Linked DNA regions of Rattus norvegicus. The protein of the gene in region 4 purifies or fractionates together with the protein of the main gene of each other region. This does not show direct contact. Links are inferred from orthologs where the notes say so. Each region holds a gene or a part of one and is shown on either strand. Other genes may lie near its edges.

What was found. Proteins that work in one complex are often made in the same cells at the same time.
Region 1: the proteins of Nherf2 (region 4) and Plcb3 purify together in Homo sapiens (co-immunoprecipitation; 3 studies listed by BioGRID and IntAct, with this or other methods). This does not show direct contact. The link is inferred for Rattus norvegicus from reciprocal best matches to the Homo sapiens genes NHERF2 and PLCB3.
Region 2: the proteins of Nherf2 (region 4) and Phlpp1 purify together in Homo sapiens (affinity purification with mass spectrometry; 3 studies listed by BioGRID and IntAct, with this or other methods). This does not show direct contact. The link is inferred for Rattus norvegicus from reciprocal best matches to the Homo sapiens genes NHERF2 and PHLPP1.
Region 3: the proteins of Nherf2 (region 4) and Kctd5 purify together in Homo sapiens (affinity purification with mass spectrometry; 3 studies listed by BioGRID and IntAct, with this or other methods). This does not show direct contact. The link is inferred for Rattus norvegicus from reciprocal best matches to the Homo sapiens genes NHERF2 and KCTD5.

The regions. Positions count from the first base shown.
Region 1 is NC_086019.1:213,586,633-213,590,678, forward strand, and holds the start of Plcb3 (1-phosphatidylinositol 4,5-bisphosphate phosphodiesterase beta-3), read right to left. Parts: upstream 2,804-4,046; 5' UTR 2,792-2,803; coding exon 2,693-2,791; intron 130-2,692; coding exon 52-129; intron 1-51. UniProt on the Homo sapiens protein: Catalyzes the production of the second messenger molecules diacylglycerol (DAG) and inositol 1,4,5-trisphosphate (IP3).
Region 2 is NC_086031.1:22,821,806-22,825,934, reverse strand, and holds the start of Phlpp1 (PH domain leucine-rich repeat protein phosphatase 1), read right to left. Parts: upstream 2,804-4,129; 5' UTR 2,555-2,803; coding exon 1,090-2,554; intron 1-1,089. UniProt on the Homo sapiens protein: Protein phosphatase involved in regulation of Akt and PKC signaling.
Region 3 is NC_086028.1:13,606,960-13,611,214, forward strand, and holds the start of Kctd5 (BTB/POZ domain-containing protein KCTD5), read right to left. Parts: upstream 2,804-4,255; 5' UTR 2,788-2,803; coding exon 2,536-2,787; intron 1-2,535. UniProt on the Homo sapiens protein: Its interaction with CUL3 suggests that it may act as a substrate adapter in some E3 ligase complex. Does not affect the function of Kv channel Kv2.1/KCNB1, Kv1.2/KCNA2, Kv4.2/KCND2 and Kv3.4/KCNC4.
Region 4 is NC_086028.1:14,167,508-14,171,020, reverse strand, and holds part of Nherf2 (Na(+)/H(+) exchange regulatory cofactor NHE-RF2), read left to right. Parts: exon of another isoform or gene 1-600; coding exon of another isoform or gene 601-609; intron 610-1,215; coding exon 1,216-1,395; intron 1,396-1,616; coding exon 1,617-1,770; intron 1,771-1,838; coding exon 1,839-1,882; intron 1,883-2,575; coding exon 2,576-2,638; intron 2,639-2,836; coding exon 2,837-2,995; 3' UTR 2,996-3,513.

The sequences.
Region 1 (4,046 bases), on a different chromosome or scaffold from region 4:
GTCACCCCTAGAGGCCTAGGCCTGAGCCGGCAGCACCAACACCACTCTCACCATGTTGGGTCCTGTCCAGTACAAGAAGAAGCCATTGGGGTCCACTCGCAGGGTCACCAGGTTCCGACTGGAGGCCTCCTGAGGGCAGTACAAGACAAGGGTCAGGGGAGTGAGAGCTGGACCTACGGTAGCTGGTTTCTGCCAGTGAGCTAAGAGGACGCTCCGCCGACACACAGGTGCTCCTGGAGACGAAGACAAGTCGTCAGCGTGACATTTCAGGTTCAGTCTCTAACATGTCTCCCAGCTTCACCTTTACCCTGAGATTCTATCCCATAGGCTACTACCCTGTCTCTAACACCCAGCTTTTGCCACACCCTACCCTGTACTTTCACTTTTTCTCTACCTTGAAACTGCTGTGGAGGTCTCCAGGAGCCCATTCTAGCTTTGGCTTCCCAACAAGGCCTGAGAGGTCAAGAATGCTAGAATCCTCTGCCTCCGATCCCTTATTATTCCTGTATGAGAGCAGAGGGCTTAGAAGCCTGGAGCTAAAGTTCTCTCTGTCCTTGAGGCCTCACAGTATCTGGCCACCCTAAGATCTTTCTCAAAGCTTATCACCCATCACACTGTACCTCGTGGGATCCTTATAGCCTCTAGGCTCACCCATCTTATAGAAAAGGTCCCTCAGGAAGACTAGGCAGGGGGTTCACTCTTCTCCCTAACAACCCTATGGTGACTGACAGGAAGGCAGGATATGAGGAAAAGGCTCACTTTCTTTGTTTTTTGTTTTTTGTTTTTGTTTTTGTTTTTGTTTTTCGGAGCTGGGGACCGAACCCAGGGCCTTGTGCTTGCTGGGCAAGCGCTCTACCACTGAGCTAAATCCCCAACCTCAAGGCTCACTTTCTAAAAAGGACCCAGTCACTGATGCCCAAGGCTACCCCACGGAGCCCAAGACTCAGGACCAGCAAGGACTTCACTCAAGTCAATCTTACTCTTACTCTCCCTTGAGCCAAAAGAGGATTGAAATCCCCAAACTCTGGCTCTAGACAACCCTGCCACCAACAGTATACACTCCAGGTCCCACAGCCCCAACTGTGAGCCACAGCGAATTCTACACCCTGAATTTCACCCCCCTTCATGTTCCTCAACGCCGTGTAGGATGTGTCCTGCATCACCCTCATTTTACACAGGAGGAAACTGAGGAGTCGGGATCTCCAGGGGTACACTTGTAAAGTCCTGGCACGTGGCAAACAGAGAGAGCCAAGACCCCTCTGGACCACCCCTGGCTCCTGATCTCAGCATCAACCTCATAGCAGAGACCTCAGTTTGTCTCTTGGGAGAATAGGGGTTGCCCCACCCATGCAGTCTTGGTTTACAAAAGAACAGCAGCTGATCTGGGGACATTCATAATCCTTCAACTCTAACCAGGTCCCAACCTCTCCAGGAGATTCAGAACCTTGCCCTGGGCCTGACTAACCAGCCACCAGTAGTACAAGAAAGGGAGAAATTTGTGGGTACTGTCCCTAAAGCCGCTGTGGTACCATCCTCAGGGTCCTAACCTCCAAAGGCTACCCAGGACTCTGGCTCTGCAGTTCCAAACTTTGCTCGGCACCCCCACCCCACCCCAGGCCCTCTCCTTGTTCCCACTTCCTTATTTGGGTTTATCACACTGCAAGGAAAAGGAGAAATTTTTCCCTTTAGGCTGGCCTGGGGGAAGGGGTCTTCTGGGGACCCAGGGGTACCCACCCTTGCCCAGCACACCTGCAGCTAAGGCCACGCCCCCAGCCCCTCCCCTTAGTTCCCACTCCTGCCCCACCCAGCCGGAAAGAAACCTAGCCCTAGCGTCTTCCAGGCCTATGGCCCGACTGGGAAGGAACAGTAAGGAAGCTCAGGCCGCTGAGTTGAGGCCCTAGGGAGCGAGGGGCCCAGGGGGCAGGGGAGAGAACAGTACAGAAACCAGAAACGTGGGTAAGACGTGATATCTGGATAAGAAGCCGCAGGTGGGTATCAGGAAAGTACCAGGGAGAAAGTAGTAAAAAATGGGGAGGGCAGGATTTATTGGGGTTCAAAGTCACTAAATTAAGGAGTGGGGAGCAAAGTTCCCAGAGTTGGAGGGACCTGGAAAGGGACAAAGTCTACGGTAAGGGGTAACTTGGCGCTCCCATCTGAACAGAAAGCTCGCTGGAACCCAGAAACAGGATGAAGGGGTACCAACCAGGACAGGCTGAAATGTGATGAATAGAATAGCTCAGGCGATGCACTGCTAAGAGTAGGATCCCAGTGGCACCCCACCCAAGACAAGGATGCCCTATACCCCCTGGGAGCCCAGTGCCAGGCACAAGGATCTGAGGACAAGACCAGAAACTGAGAACCAGCATGGAGACTGATATTCATCGTCTGGCAAGGGTGGGAAAGAGTAAGAAGAGGGACAGGATTTATTGAGGTTCAAAGTCTCCATGCCAAGGAGTGGAGAACCCAACTGACCACAGCTAAAGGATTGGTTTGCGGGTCGGTGAGGGGAACGACGACGACAAAGTCTTCAATTACCAGGACAACAGTGGGACTCAAGTTTCCGGAGTGCAGCAAGGCTGGAATAGGGGTGCAGTGGTCAGGCTACACTGAAGTGGGGGTCCCTGGCATCTAGCCGAATGTGACTGAAGGAATCCTTCGATCAGGGCAGAGTAGGGGACAGCCACTCTCTTACCTCGTCCCATTTGATGAATTTACTCCCGCGCCGCAGGGTCTCCACCACGGTGGGCGGCTCCAGCTGCAGCGCGTGGACGCCGGGCCTCGCGCCCGCCATGGCCAAGCCAGGGGCGGCTCGGGGACCTATGGAACCCCGACGGGAACGGACGGTGCCACTGCTTTCTCCACACGCTCCCGCGCGGCCCGCTCTGGCCCCGCGGCGTCAGCGCCCGCCCGCCAGCCAGTCTGTCCCGGACGGACGGGAGACTCGGCGCCCGGCCCCGCCCCCGCCGAGCCCCGCCCCGTCGGGCGGTGCCGCCCCCTCCCACCGCGGAGGGGTCGCCCGACCCGCGGCGGCGCCCCCTGGCGGTCGGGGCGGCGACTGCAGCCAAAGGGATGATAGAGCGGAATTGGGGGGGGGGGGGGTCTTTGTTGGCCGGCTCAGTAGGTCTCAAGTTTTCCGGAGTCTTAGATAAAGTAGGAGAGCTTGGGAGCCCGGGGCTATTGAGGGTGCACCTGGAAAGACGGGTGTTCGAACTACCGAAGACATGCCAAGGTCAGCTAGTTGAGGACTCCAGGTGGAAAAGGCGAAGATAATAAGGCTGGGGGACACAGACCCCTGTCCCCAACCCACTCCTACCGCACTTAGCTGAACTCAGGAAATATCACCGCATCTCTCTCCATCCCACTCCACCCGCGTGCCCTCACTTCGCCTCACCCCCTGCTGCTGCAGAGCAGTCCCCCCCCCCACCTCCCAGGGAGCACTTAGCTGGCTAATGGGCCTCCCGCCGGCAGGCGCCCCTCCCCCGTCCCTAGCCCTGGAGGCCTGGAGCTGCCACCTCCTTTGAGGACCCAGGCATCCTGGTTTTCCAGAGAAAACCTTGCCGCAGTTCTTGGCGCTGCTGACCCTGAGATGGGAGCCAGCCTCAGTGAGCCTCGTAGCAGAAAACCGCACAGTGAAGGATGGTTGTTTGCCCAGAGGGGGCAGAAGCCTCGTGGGTGTCCCCAAAGGAGGGGTTGTGCAGCTCCTGGCCCATAGCAGGTGCCCTGAAATCTGTGTTCCAGCGATCGGAGGAACGGAAGGGGCAGACACATGGGCACCAGCCGGGGTGGGGGCTGCAGCCCCTCCCGCAGGGCTTGGCCGGGGGGGGGCTCCTGCCTGGGGGCCCCTGTGGGAGCCCCCCCAATACAGAGGAGGCAGCAGCAGCAGGTTTAAAGTAGAACTCATCCAGAGGGGCCAGCCAAGTCACCTAGAAACCCAGAAAGAGTTGGAGCTGGCTCTGGGGGAGGAGGGTCAGCTAAGGAGGAGCTTCCCTGCCGGCGTCTTTGCCCCAGGCTCTCAGCCTCAAGAGGAGCCCTGACTGGCACTGGCT
Region 2 (4,129 bases), on a different chromosome or scaffold from region 4:
GAGGTCTTGCATATATCAATGTGGGTGTTAAAGACCAATTCATTCAAATTAAACTGCAACTAGGACACATGCTGGACTAAAAACCTCTAGCTGTGGAAGAAGCTCTGTGGGCATCATGGGTTGTTAGTATATGCACCTACAATATAAAACTGAAAGTCTTAATTCTCCTAAGCTAACCTTATTTCAAACAGAAGTTCTGACCACTAAAATCCCTTTCAACCAGAGTTCGAGTAGCTTACAAAGCTCAAAAACAATACCCAGTAGCCATGTAACTCCACGACTTAGTTCCAGCCAAGACTCCAGGCAAGGGAGAAACTGACTGGTCACCCCTGGACAAGCACTTGAACAGATACTAAAATACTGCTAGAGTTCAGGTCACATCAGAGGCAGTAATCACCGACATTACTAAGTCTAGTCTGTTTCAAGTCCTGTCGCAGTTCTGACAATAAAGGCTGCAAGACAGAAGCAGGCCAACTCATCTTTTATGCAAGATTCAAACTTGGAAAGTGAAATAAAGTAATTAAAAACGCCGAAGGTGAGCAACACTCAAAACAACAAACATACACACACACTTCTCGGGTGTCTACAAGAACTCAGTGAGCAAAGAAGCGTGGCAGACGGTGGAACAGGAGCATCAGTTGACAAGAGCACAGCCCCAGAGGCCCACACACACTGCCTTGTCTATGAATGGTAAACTGTGGACAGCTGAATAGGGAAGGCATCATGGAACACTTTCCGTTGGTCATTGTCCTCTGTCTATATTAATGTGTTACCTGGAATCCCAAACCGCCTGCAACCCAACGAGAGCAGAGGCCTGGAGGAAACCACCTTTACAGTTAAGGACCCGTACCCCTCTTAGGTGTTTCCTGTATTTCCAGGTGACTTTGCCACCTCGTCCACCCGGCTTTCCAACCTCAGACCTGGACACTAAAAAGTGCAGATTTAAAGAATACTGAATTTAGTACTTGCACAAACAGCATGTGAACCAGCTAGAAAAGACTGCCAGACTCACCAGGCCCCTCGAATCATTTATCGGTCCGGGCCAGGGTTCGAAGCCGCTATACAGAAACATGCATGCAACTTCCTTACCTGCATAGAATCGGATGAGGCAGCCAATCTCCGAATCCATGCCTTCCTCCTGCACCCTCCACAGCTCCCCAAATCCCAGTTGGAAGAGGTAGTCATTTTGGATCTGCAATGGCTTCTCGTCCGCCTCCAGGCGCCGGGTAGTCTCCCCATGGAGCTGTACATACAGGGAGGGCGGAGAAGACGTCTTTTGCACGGTCTCCCGGATCCTCCCTGGAGTCCACAGAGGAACGCCTGGAGCTGCAGCTGCCACCGCCTTGTCGTCTCCGGGACCTTCGCCCACCACTAGGCCAGTGCCGTCTACGCCCGTCGGGGCTTTCGGCTGCAGTAACGCCGAGGTCTTCGGGGAAGGCGGTCGAGGCTGTGAGGAGCGGACTGGGTGGTGGGGCGGCCCGGAAGGCCCCGTCAAGACCGTGGCCGGGTCAGCTTCTAGTTCCTCGGACGAAGAGGAGGAGCCGCCGCCGCTGCTATAGGGGTCCAGCCGGTCTGACACGCTCTCGGCGCTGGGGCTCAGGCTGAAGCTCTCGGTGTCGGAGGCCGGGCGCGGGGCGCGGGACGGGGAACAGGGGCCGCCCGCGAACAGCTCTCCGGGGCTGGAGTCCGAGGGCGCAGGGTTGACCCGAGGTGCACAGCGCGTCCAGGCGCCCCCGGGCAGCGGCAGATCGGCAGGAGGCGCGCGCGCAGGGCCCCGGACAGCACCGACCGTGCTGCTCGAGGGCGGTGGCTCCACGTCTCTTCCGAGCTCTGTGGCCGGGGTCTGATCGCTGGCGGCCGGGGCAGCGGCCGGAGGTGGCCCGTGGCCCAGCACCTTCACCACCCCGCCGCCTTTGTGGCCCAGCTGCAGAAGCCGGGCGGCCACCTCGGCGGCTGTGGTGTCCAGCGTGCAGAGCACTGGGCGCAGGTAGGACGAGGCCATGTGGCGGTCAAAGACGTGCACACAGCCCCGCTGGAGCTGGTGCCTCACCCAGTCCCGGTCCGACGGCTGCAGCTGAAGCAGCTGCCGGTGCTTCTGGAGCAGCGTCTTCCTGTCCAGACTCCGGGTGCACAGCGACGCCGAGGCCGAGCAGGACGCCGGGAGGCCGCCAGCGGCCGAAGACGCCGAGGACGGCGATGAGGACGACGAAGCGGCGGCCGACAGATTCCTCTTCAGCCGCCCTCTCCTCAGCAGCAGCGAGTTGGCGCCGCCGCCGGCCGCGGTCACCGGGGCGGCCCCGCCGGCCGCGGGCTGGGGCACCCCGCGCCGACGCCTGCGTCCGGTGCCTCCCGCGCGGCCGGGCAGCGGCCCCGGCGGCGCCTCGCAGGGGGCCTCCTCTCGCGCCGCGCCGCCGTTCCCGCCGCTCGGGGCCGCCGCGCTCAGCACAGAATCCGGACTCCGTCCGCCCTCGGCCGCCGCCGCCGCCGCCGGGGCTCGGTCCTCACCCGTGGGGTCCGCGAGTCGCTGTGCCGGGGCTGCGGCGGCGGGCTCCATCGTAGCGGGGTTTCACGTCGCCCCCCCAGCTCCGGAGGCAGCGGAGGAGGAGGAGGTGAGGCGAAGGTGGGAGACGGCGGCGGCAGCGGCGCGCGGAGAACGGAGACGCCGATGGCGTTCGGCGCGGCTGTTCCAGAGGATTATGTGGCGATCCGGAGCATTCCGTCGGTGTCTCGGTGTTCCATCCCGCGCGCCGCCCGCCCGTTTCGCCGCCACCGCCCCCCCCACACACACCCTCCCCGCTGGTCCGGGGCTCCCCAGCGCCAGGCCCCGCCCGCTGCCCGTCAGCCTGAGCTCCCCGGAGCTGCGGCCCGACCTCACTCATGAATATTAATGAAGCGCGGGAAGGCGGGCGGTGGCGGGGCGGAGTTGCTCATGAATATGCATCGTTAGCATGACGACATTTCTGGGGAGAGCGGGAGGCTGGGGGCGGGGCCTCAGGGTAAACAAACGTGACGCGTGCGTATGGGGGTGGGGCAGAACTGTTTCCCAGGAGGTTTGTCCTCGCCATAGACGAGAGCTGGCGAGAGGGGCTCGCGTTGCACAGTGGGGGTTGTAGTTCATCTCCTGGGCGAGCCTCCAATGGAGACCAATAGCGAACTACAAGACCCAGATATCGTCAGATTCTGCCCTCCCTCTCTTCCAGCTTCTGGCCCTAGCTAGTGGGTATTGTGCCCTCTGCTGTTGAACTCTGTGTCCTGTGAACGTTTTTCATTAACTCGCTTCTCTACCGTTTGCCAGATGAGTTTTATTTTCCTGGCTAATTGAGATTGAGAGCTTTCAGGGACTCTAAACTCTAGGTAAGGCCTTTGAATGAGACAAAAATACACAGTTCACAGGATCGCTGGCCCGGTCTTCCTTTTTCCGCACTTTTTTCATGGTCCATGAAAACTAGCAGTGTTTGGAAATTCTTCTTTAGAAGATAGTTGAACGTGCTTCCTGTAAAGCACTCAAATTAAGCCCATCTACTCCCTCCCATATTAGGACAGAAATAGCTAAGGACTTGGGGCCTTGTATCCTGTTGGTAAAAGCTTACATAACAGAAAACAGTAGACGAAGGGAGAAATATTAGAATGGAGACATTGTGGGACTTGCTTTCTCTTAGTCCTTTCAGGATTTTTCTTTCCACACTCGGGGCTGGGTAGAGGGTGAATGAGACAAGGTTTCTCGGTATAGTCTGATCTCCATACTTCCTCAAACTGCTCACCACCTAGGCTTTAACTATGTTGTGTGAGTTCTTACTGTTGCAATGTATGATCTATAAACTTACTTTTTATTGGTTGAAACAAGCTGGTTTGAGGCAATTAACTATTTGAAATATTTGATAAACGTCGTGCATTGAGTTGCCACCCTCATAGTAGCTTTACATAGGTAGATACTCACTTTCGAGGCTTTGGGTTACATACTATCCAGAGCCTGCCTTAATTTTAGAAAACTTTGGTAGGAGAGAGAGAACTGAAATTCCTATCAAGGCAGCTTGGTTTTAGGTTAGCTACACATTTTTGTTGAAGAGGGATGAGAAAGCAGCCAGGACAAAAAGTTTTTCAGTGATTGTTAAATTTCTAAAAATTAATT
Region 3 (4,255 bases), about 560 kb from region 4:
ATCTTACATTATGTGTATGAGTATTTTAAATGCCCATGCGTTATGTGTAACATGTATGTGCCTGATGCCAAAGGGGTCAAAGGAGAGTGTCAGACTCCCCAGACCTGGAATCACAGATTGTTAAAAGCCACTATGAGAAGTTCTGAGAATCCAACCTGGGTCCTCTGTAAGAGCAAGTGTTCTTAACCAGTGAGCCAACTCTCTAGTTCCTAAAGAATAAACTTTTTTTTTGGGGGGGGGGTTCTTTTTTTCGGAGCTGGGGACCGAACCCAGGGCCTTGCGCTTCCTAGGCAAGCGCTCTACCACTGAGCTAAATCCCCAACCCCAATAATAAACTTTTAAAAGCAACTAAAATATATTCTGATAATCTTACATTGCAATAAAGAAAAAACGCATATCCACATAGACACACACACACATTTATTTATGTATGTGTGTGGGCACACAAGTACCATAACAAGCAACGAAAATTCACTGTACAATTTTTTTTTTTTTTGAGACAGTTTCTCTGTATAGCCCCAGCTATCTGGGAACTCACTCTGTATACCAGGCTGGCCTGGAACTCAGAAATCCGTCTGCCTCTACCTCCTGAGTGCTGGGATTAAAAGCAGTGCACTCCCACACCAGGCTTTTTGTATATGAATTTTTAATGACATATTTTATGTGCATTAGTGTTTTGCTTGCATATGTCAATATGGGTCTCGGATCCCCTGAAACTGGAGTTACGGTTGTGATGTGGGTGCTGAGTATAGAACCCAGGGTCTCTGGAAGAACAGCCGGTGTTTTCAACCACTGAGCCATCTCTCCAGCTATTTTGTTTTGTTTTGTTTTTTGAGTCAGTGTTTCTCTGTGTAACCTGGCTGTTTTGAAACTCCCTCTGTAGACCATGCTGGCCTCAAACTGATATATCTGCCTGCCTCTGCCTCCCAAGTGCTTGAATTAAAGGTATGCACGGCCACTGCTCAGCTCAGAATATAACTTTTCAGTCAAGTGTTTCTCCTTCCACCTTGTAGATCCTAGAGACTCTTAAGTTGTCAGGCTTGATTGGCAGCTTGTGCCATCTCACCAGCACAATAAAGGATAACTTATAAAATAATCTTAAAAGACAGTAAAATGAAGAGATATATTTGACTTGAACTGTGCAGAAGTCAAACAATTCTAGATCCATTGTTCCAGTGCTAAGTAGGCAAAAGACACCAGAAGCCAATGGCCAAGGCTGATTTAAAATTTAAAATCTGATTTAAGACAGAGATGCTTGAGTAGAAAGACAAGAATGATTATAAATGCCCACTGTTTGAAAAACCAACAGTAAAACATACAGCCTCAACTATAAAAAGAAAACACCAATGACCAAAGCCTATTTCTATCCTTCAGACTTCTGTCATCTTCTAGGAGGTCAATTCTCTACGAGTAAAGAGATTTGGTCAACTCAGAAATGGGAACAGCTGGGAGGAAGGATATGAGGGACTACCACAGTATATCTCAAACCCTAACTTCGTGATTATTTTGCAGTAACTCAAGAATTCTTATTTCCTGATCATAATGCCAGGCCTCACTGTGAAGGTGCTCTGTCAAGCTGTTTAAAGTGCAGTGGGCTCCAATCTTTCTCGAAAACCTCCTGAGTGGAAACTTTCAGGTGGCAAGGCACAAAATCAAGTGCCATCACGTAAACTGAACCAGAAAACTCAGTAAACTGTCTAGGAGGAAAGGGGAGAGAACGATTTTTCCCTATATTTCGGTCCTGCACAATACTTATTTCTCAGTTATGCAATATATCACACAACTTTTGTAATGATAATAATCGAAATACCTTCTATTACCACAGGTATAACAGTATTAGCGTTTAATTAAATTAAAACTAAACAAACCACAAACTAAGCTGGAAATTCCTACTCTTTTCAAAGGCAGTGGGGAAACAAAGTCTGAAAAGCAGATCGAAAAGGATTCTCTCTACCTGGTCTCTCTTTCACAATCCTAAGGTTTTTCTACACCTGGCCCCGAACATGAATTCAATACAAATAATTCATATATTAGAAGTAAACTGACACCCTTGAACATTTTTACTCAGGAGGTACCTTCTAAGAGCTGCGATGCCTGTTCTTATTATGGATGAGAAGGATGAAGCACAAACTCTGCAAGTCACTGGAAAAAGGGTAGCCACTGTGGCAACCCTTATGGCCTACGTTTATTTAAACGTCTGGAATGTGAAAAGACCAGATGAATGCAAAGGGCTCTCAGGTTCCAAAGCCAGCAAATAGTTGGGCGGTGGTAGTCACACACCCTGGGCAAAACAATCTAGGGAGAAGAAAGTAGGGACACAGCAAAGCTTGGGTCTTTCTCGACCGAAGAACATGAAAAGCAAGAGAAGCACTGTTAAACCTGAGGCAGGTGGGTACAAGAGTGCCATCCTTCCCCCGGCCCAGGACGCTAGGCTGAGTATGTCCGCTTCGCTGGGCGCCCTCAGTGTGGAGAGAGGTGTGTGCCGCGAGTGGCTACCAGGGCGGCCAGACCCCTGTTGACCCGCGAGGCCCTCACCTTGTCCGAATCTAGGTCGGGGTCCGCCTGGCACAAGCGGTACAGGAAAGACTTCGGGTCCCGGCACAGCGTCTGCCGGGTGGTGAGGAAGTAGGTGCCGCCGACGTTGAGACGGACCCACTTGGACACGCCACTGGGGCGCTGAGCCAGGGCGCCGATCCCAGCGCTGCAGCGGCGGCACAGGCCGCCCCCCAGCCCCGCCCCGAGGCCGCTCGGAGCCGGCGGTAGCAGCTCGCAGTGATTCTCCGCCATGATCCTAACAAGCCCCGCCACAGCGCCCCTTCGCCGGAAGCGTCCGTTCTTTAATACAGTCCCCCGAGTTGGCCCGCCCATAAGTACGCCCCAATAAAGTGCCCGCCCAGGTCTCATGTGCAAGACGGAAGTTCCGGCTCGAAAAGCAGACCGGAGATTACAGCTTCCGGCTGGAGCAAGCCTCGGGTTCTCACGGGCATCCTAAGCTCAAGACCCGCCCCCACCCAAAGAGAATCCAGGACAGAAGAAAGTGTACACTCTACATGCTTTTATTACAAGACTACCGAGCATACGAGGGAAATCCATCATCCGGTAATTACATCTAAAGCACAGATATTTGAAAAAAAAAGAAGTTGTTTCATTAAATTATATGATTAAACCATGACCAAATAGAAAATTTATATAATAAAGCCAGGAAAAAAGTTGTAAAATATAGTTTACAATAATTATTCACATTCAAGGCTGTACATCAATACATACAACGTGGCCCCAAACATGAATTCAATCCAAATAATTCATATATTAGAATTTAAATAATACAGACTGAACTAGAGGCCGACAATAGCCAGCAAATAACCTTATATAAGAATAAAAATACAAAAGTGTATATCCTAGTATCATTGCATTATCTGTTTTCATAAGTATTTTTAATTTTTCCTTTGCCTGTACATCACAGTTACAGCTACAGACCAGGTAGAGAATATTACATATGTTCTAACTGACTGCCACCAACCTGAATGACAGCAATAGACTATTGATTCATCCTACTGTACGTGGCTAGGGAATAGCCGCAGCAGCTCTAAATACTGTAACAGTTTTTGATTTGTGCCATGTTCAATCACACTATGGTCATAATGGAGGCTTTCGCCTGCACAGTGACCCACTTGCAGTCACTAACCCAGATGATTAAACTAGGGTGGACTACATGAGGAGGGGAAATTTTGCCATTTGTAAAAATTTCTGTAGAGTTTGGATTCTTCATATGGAAGAAATGAATTACAGGGAATTTTCAGGTATGCATATTGGCTAGTTCATTTGCTTACCGCTGCAAACGTGCTTGAAAGAGCTTCCTTCCAAGGCCATTGTTCCACATTCTAACCTACAACCCTCAAGTGTTAGGCCAGAAGCCACTTATCTTCAGAGGTTCTGAGAGTCGTCCTAGCCCTGTCAAATCTGTCAGGACCCTTATCATACACTCTGCCTAAGAGGCGCTACACCCATTGGCATCACCATCAGTTTATGTTGGGTTTTGCATTAAAACAAGTGGAAAAAGTGTATGGCAGCATCTTTGCCATACTCAATAGTTGCTATGGCCTCCCAAGTCTCAGCTATGAACACCCTGGGTCTATGGAACAGTGGGGAGAAGCCTTGAGGCAGAGAAGGGCAGAAAACTGATTTCTGCACATCTCCAGCCCTAAGCTCTGACAGAGTCAAGTAACACCAAGTATGGTGCCCAGAAAATCTCTGC
Region 4 (3,513 bases):
CAAAGGGCTATCCCAGAACCCTAAAACTAGGAGTGGTCCAGCATAGAAGAGTGTACTTATTCCTGCATTTGGCTGCTGCCTGTGGACATGGCTCAACCCACACTTAGGCTTTGGAGCTAAGCGTGTGGTCTATGCCTATAATTCCAGCACTCAGAAGCTGAAGCAAAAGATCACTTTGAGTTGGGAGTTTGAGGCTAGCCTGGGTTCTCCAAAACACCGAAAGAGGGGTGGTGGTAGTGGACAGCAGGAGTGTAGAGGTATTCAGGCTTGGGGGAAAGGAGTTACCTGAGTCTTAGAGATCTGCCCTGAGACCGGAAGCAGCCTTTCCTCTCCAGAGTCCCTCAGCATCAGCCATGAGGGGGCAGAGTAGTAGTGGAAGGGAGGCAATGCCCCCTGCTACTACATTGTCACCTGCACTCACACCCAGAAACCTGAGCTGCCACCTGCCTGCCCACCCCAGCCGCTGGCCCTGTGTAACTAGGCACCGGCAGCTGCTGACCATTCAGAGGCAGCATCTCTGGCGTGGCCCCTGGCTGGGGTGGGAGGTCAGCAGGCTGGCCCCTTCCTGCGTAGCCTCCTGGCCCAGAGACCTACTGCAGGATGCCAGAGGTAAAGAAGGGCAGCCTGGGGCAGTGGCGGGGGATTCCCTGTGGGTACCATGAGCCCTTCCATATTGTGGGTTAGGGAGCATCATAGGCTAACTTGGCTGCCCGTGCTTTCTGGGCCCATGGGGTTGGGGCAGTGACTCCAGGAGTTAGTGCTGGAATTCTAAAGCAAAGAGCTGCCACGGTAACCCAGGGAGCCTCTTGAAGTCCATGAGGAGAAAACGAGACTGCTCAGGCCTCCAGGGTACTAGCTCTAGAGAAGGGGGGCCAGAAGGGAGACAGGGGGAGGCAAAACCTAAAGGTAGGCTTCCTGAGCCTCGGATGGGGCAGTTATCCCTTCTGGTTCCTTCGAGATCCCCAAGCTGTGCACAGTGCCCCCTATGGATTCTTCCATAGGTCCTGCCAGCAGCTATCTCATTAGATGTTTACATGCTTGGTGACATGCTGTGTCCCTAACCCCACAGCTAAAGCTGTGTAACAGGTAACTCCTCCAAACCTCTCAGTCACAGGGCACATAGCGTTGTCAATGAAATCTGGGGATTGGTCCCTTAAAGCATGAGGGTTGGGAGGCTGCGGATAGAGCCCGATGTCACTTTCTGTGGTTCTGCAGGATGTCAATGGGCCCCCAAGAGAGCTGCGTCCCCGGCTCTGCCACTTACGAAGGGGACCCCAGGGCTACGGATTCAACCTGCACAGTGACAAGTCTCGGCCTGGCCAATACATCCGCTCTGTGGACCCTGGCTCTCCTGCTTCTCTCTCTGGCCTCCGGGCCCAAGACCGGCTCATTGAGGTACCCTGAGTCCCTGTGTTTGTATCTGTATGTCCCTGAGTGTCCATGTATGGCCCTGGGTCCCTGCAGGAGGAGGGAAGACACAGGGAACTTGAGCTGGCACTCTTCTAGCTGCTTTGGCTGCTGGTGGCTTCGATGAATATTTGATGGCACACCTGGCTGGGTGGCATTGGGCCGACTGGGCCCCTCAGGCCTTTCTGACCCTGTGTGGGTGGCGGCAGGTGAATGGGCAGAATGTGGAGGGGCTGCGCCATGCCGAAGTTGTTGCCAGAATCAAGGCACAGGAGGATGAGGCCCGGTTGCTGGTTGTAGACCCCGAGACTGATGAACACTTCAAACGGTTGCGGGTCGTACCCACCGAGGATCACGTGGAAGGTAGGATGCTGCCTTCGGGGCAGAGGGTAGGGTCAGTCAGTGCAGCCGCTAACTTGCTGTCCCCACAGGTCCACTGCCATCACCAGTCACGAACGGGACCAGCCTTGCCCAGGTGAGAGGGTGTGCCCAAGGGGACCATCGGTATACCTCTACCCGTGTCCCTAGACATGGTAGAGGCTGCCTCTCCTGGAGATCTCTGCACAGTTGTGAAACCTATCTGGCTTGGTTACCTCAAAAATACACACCCATGCTAGCCAGGCATTAATCCTGGCACTTGGGAACCAAAGCAGGCAGATCTGTGAGTTCAAGGCCAGCTTGGTCTACGGAGTGAGTTCTAAGGCAGTCAGAACTGCACAGAGAAACCCTGTCTCAAAAACAAAACAAAACAAAACAAAAAAACCAAAAACCAAAAACCAAAAAAACCCCAGCCACTGTGGAGTCTGTATAGGGGTTGGCAGCAGCTCAGACGCACAATGTGGGCAGATACCTGGCCGTCTTTCCGTGCCTTGTTCCTACATGACTACTGAGTGATCTTTACCTTCTTGGGGTACTAGTCCTGGTTTGACAACAGGTGAATTCGCATAGCTGACTCCCATGGCCACAGCTGCTCTCCCATGTCATGACTGCTCAGGTTGGACTTGGCTGTTAGGTGCCAGCTGTGCCCTAGCCCGGGCAGTGACAGAAGTGTGCTCACTGCTGAACAAGGACTGGCTGCAGCTTTGTGTGTGTGTGTGTGTGCGCGTGTGAAGATCTGGGTGCACCAGGATGGGGATGCTGAAACCACAACCTGCCCTTGGTTTCCTAGCTCAATGGTGGCTCCGTGTGCTCTTCCCGAAGCGACCTGCCAGGCTCAGAGAAGGACAATGAGGTAACTCTGCTCACACATGGGGCTTCGGAGGCCTTCAGATTGGGTCTCTGTGGAGATACCTACCAAGATGGTGGGCTACCACTTCCAAGAAGCCTCTTGGGCTAGTGGTCCGGGCCCTGAGGTGGCCACTGGTGTTAGTTCCTTGGGAAAGTGGCTGCCACGGGTAAGGCTCACTGTTTGTACCTTGCCTGCCCCCAGGATGGCAGTGCTTGGAAGAGAGACCCCTTCCAGGAAAGTGGTCTCCACCTGAGCCCCACAGCAGCCGAGGCCAAGGAGAAGGCTCGAGCTACTCGGGTCAATAAGAGAGCACCACAGATGGACTGGAACCGGAAGCGAGAGATCTTCAGCAACTTCTGAGCCCCTCTCTGCCTGTCCAGGGGTCCCACGGTCTCTTCCTGCACGGACCTTGGGCCTCTCCAGAGCTCCCCAAGCCTCAGCAGACTGGAAGGTGGTATTACACCACCCAGAAACCAACCCACGACCCCATGAACCCTTGTCTTGTCCACTGGGTGCTGCGGCTGTCATAGCAAGATCAGAGAAGAGAGAAACCGAGAGAGAGAAAGAGAGAAAGAGGGAGAGAGAGAGAGAGAGAGAGAGAGAGAGAGAGAGAGAGAGAGAAAGAAAGATAGGCACAGCCAGCCAAGACAGACACAGAGACAGAAAAGAGTGAGAGAGGGAGTATGCGTGGTGGTCTGCCAAGGGCCTTAGCCGTTCTGCCTTGGGCCTGCTGACTGAAAGGAATTCATGTTTTCGCTTTTTTTTTTTTCCTAAAAGTTCTCCAGCTCCACATATGTTTGTAGTTAATAGTGGAGCCCCCTCCCCCAACCCCTTGGGACTCACTCCTAATACTTGCAATAAAACAGAACCTTTCTCTG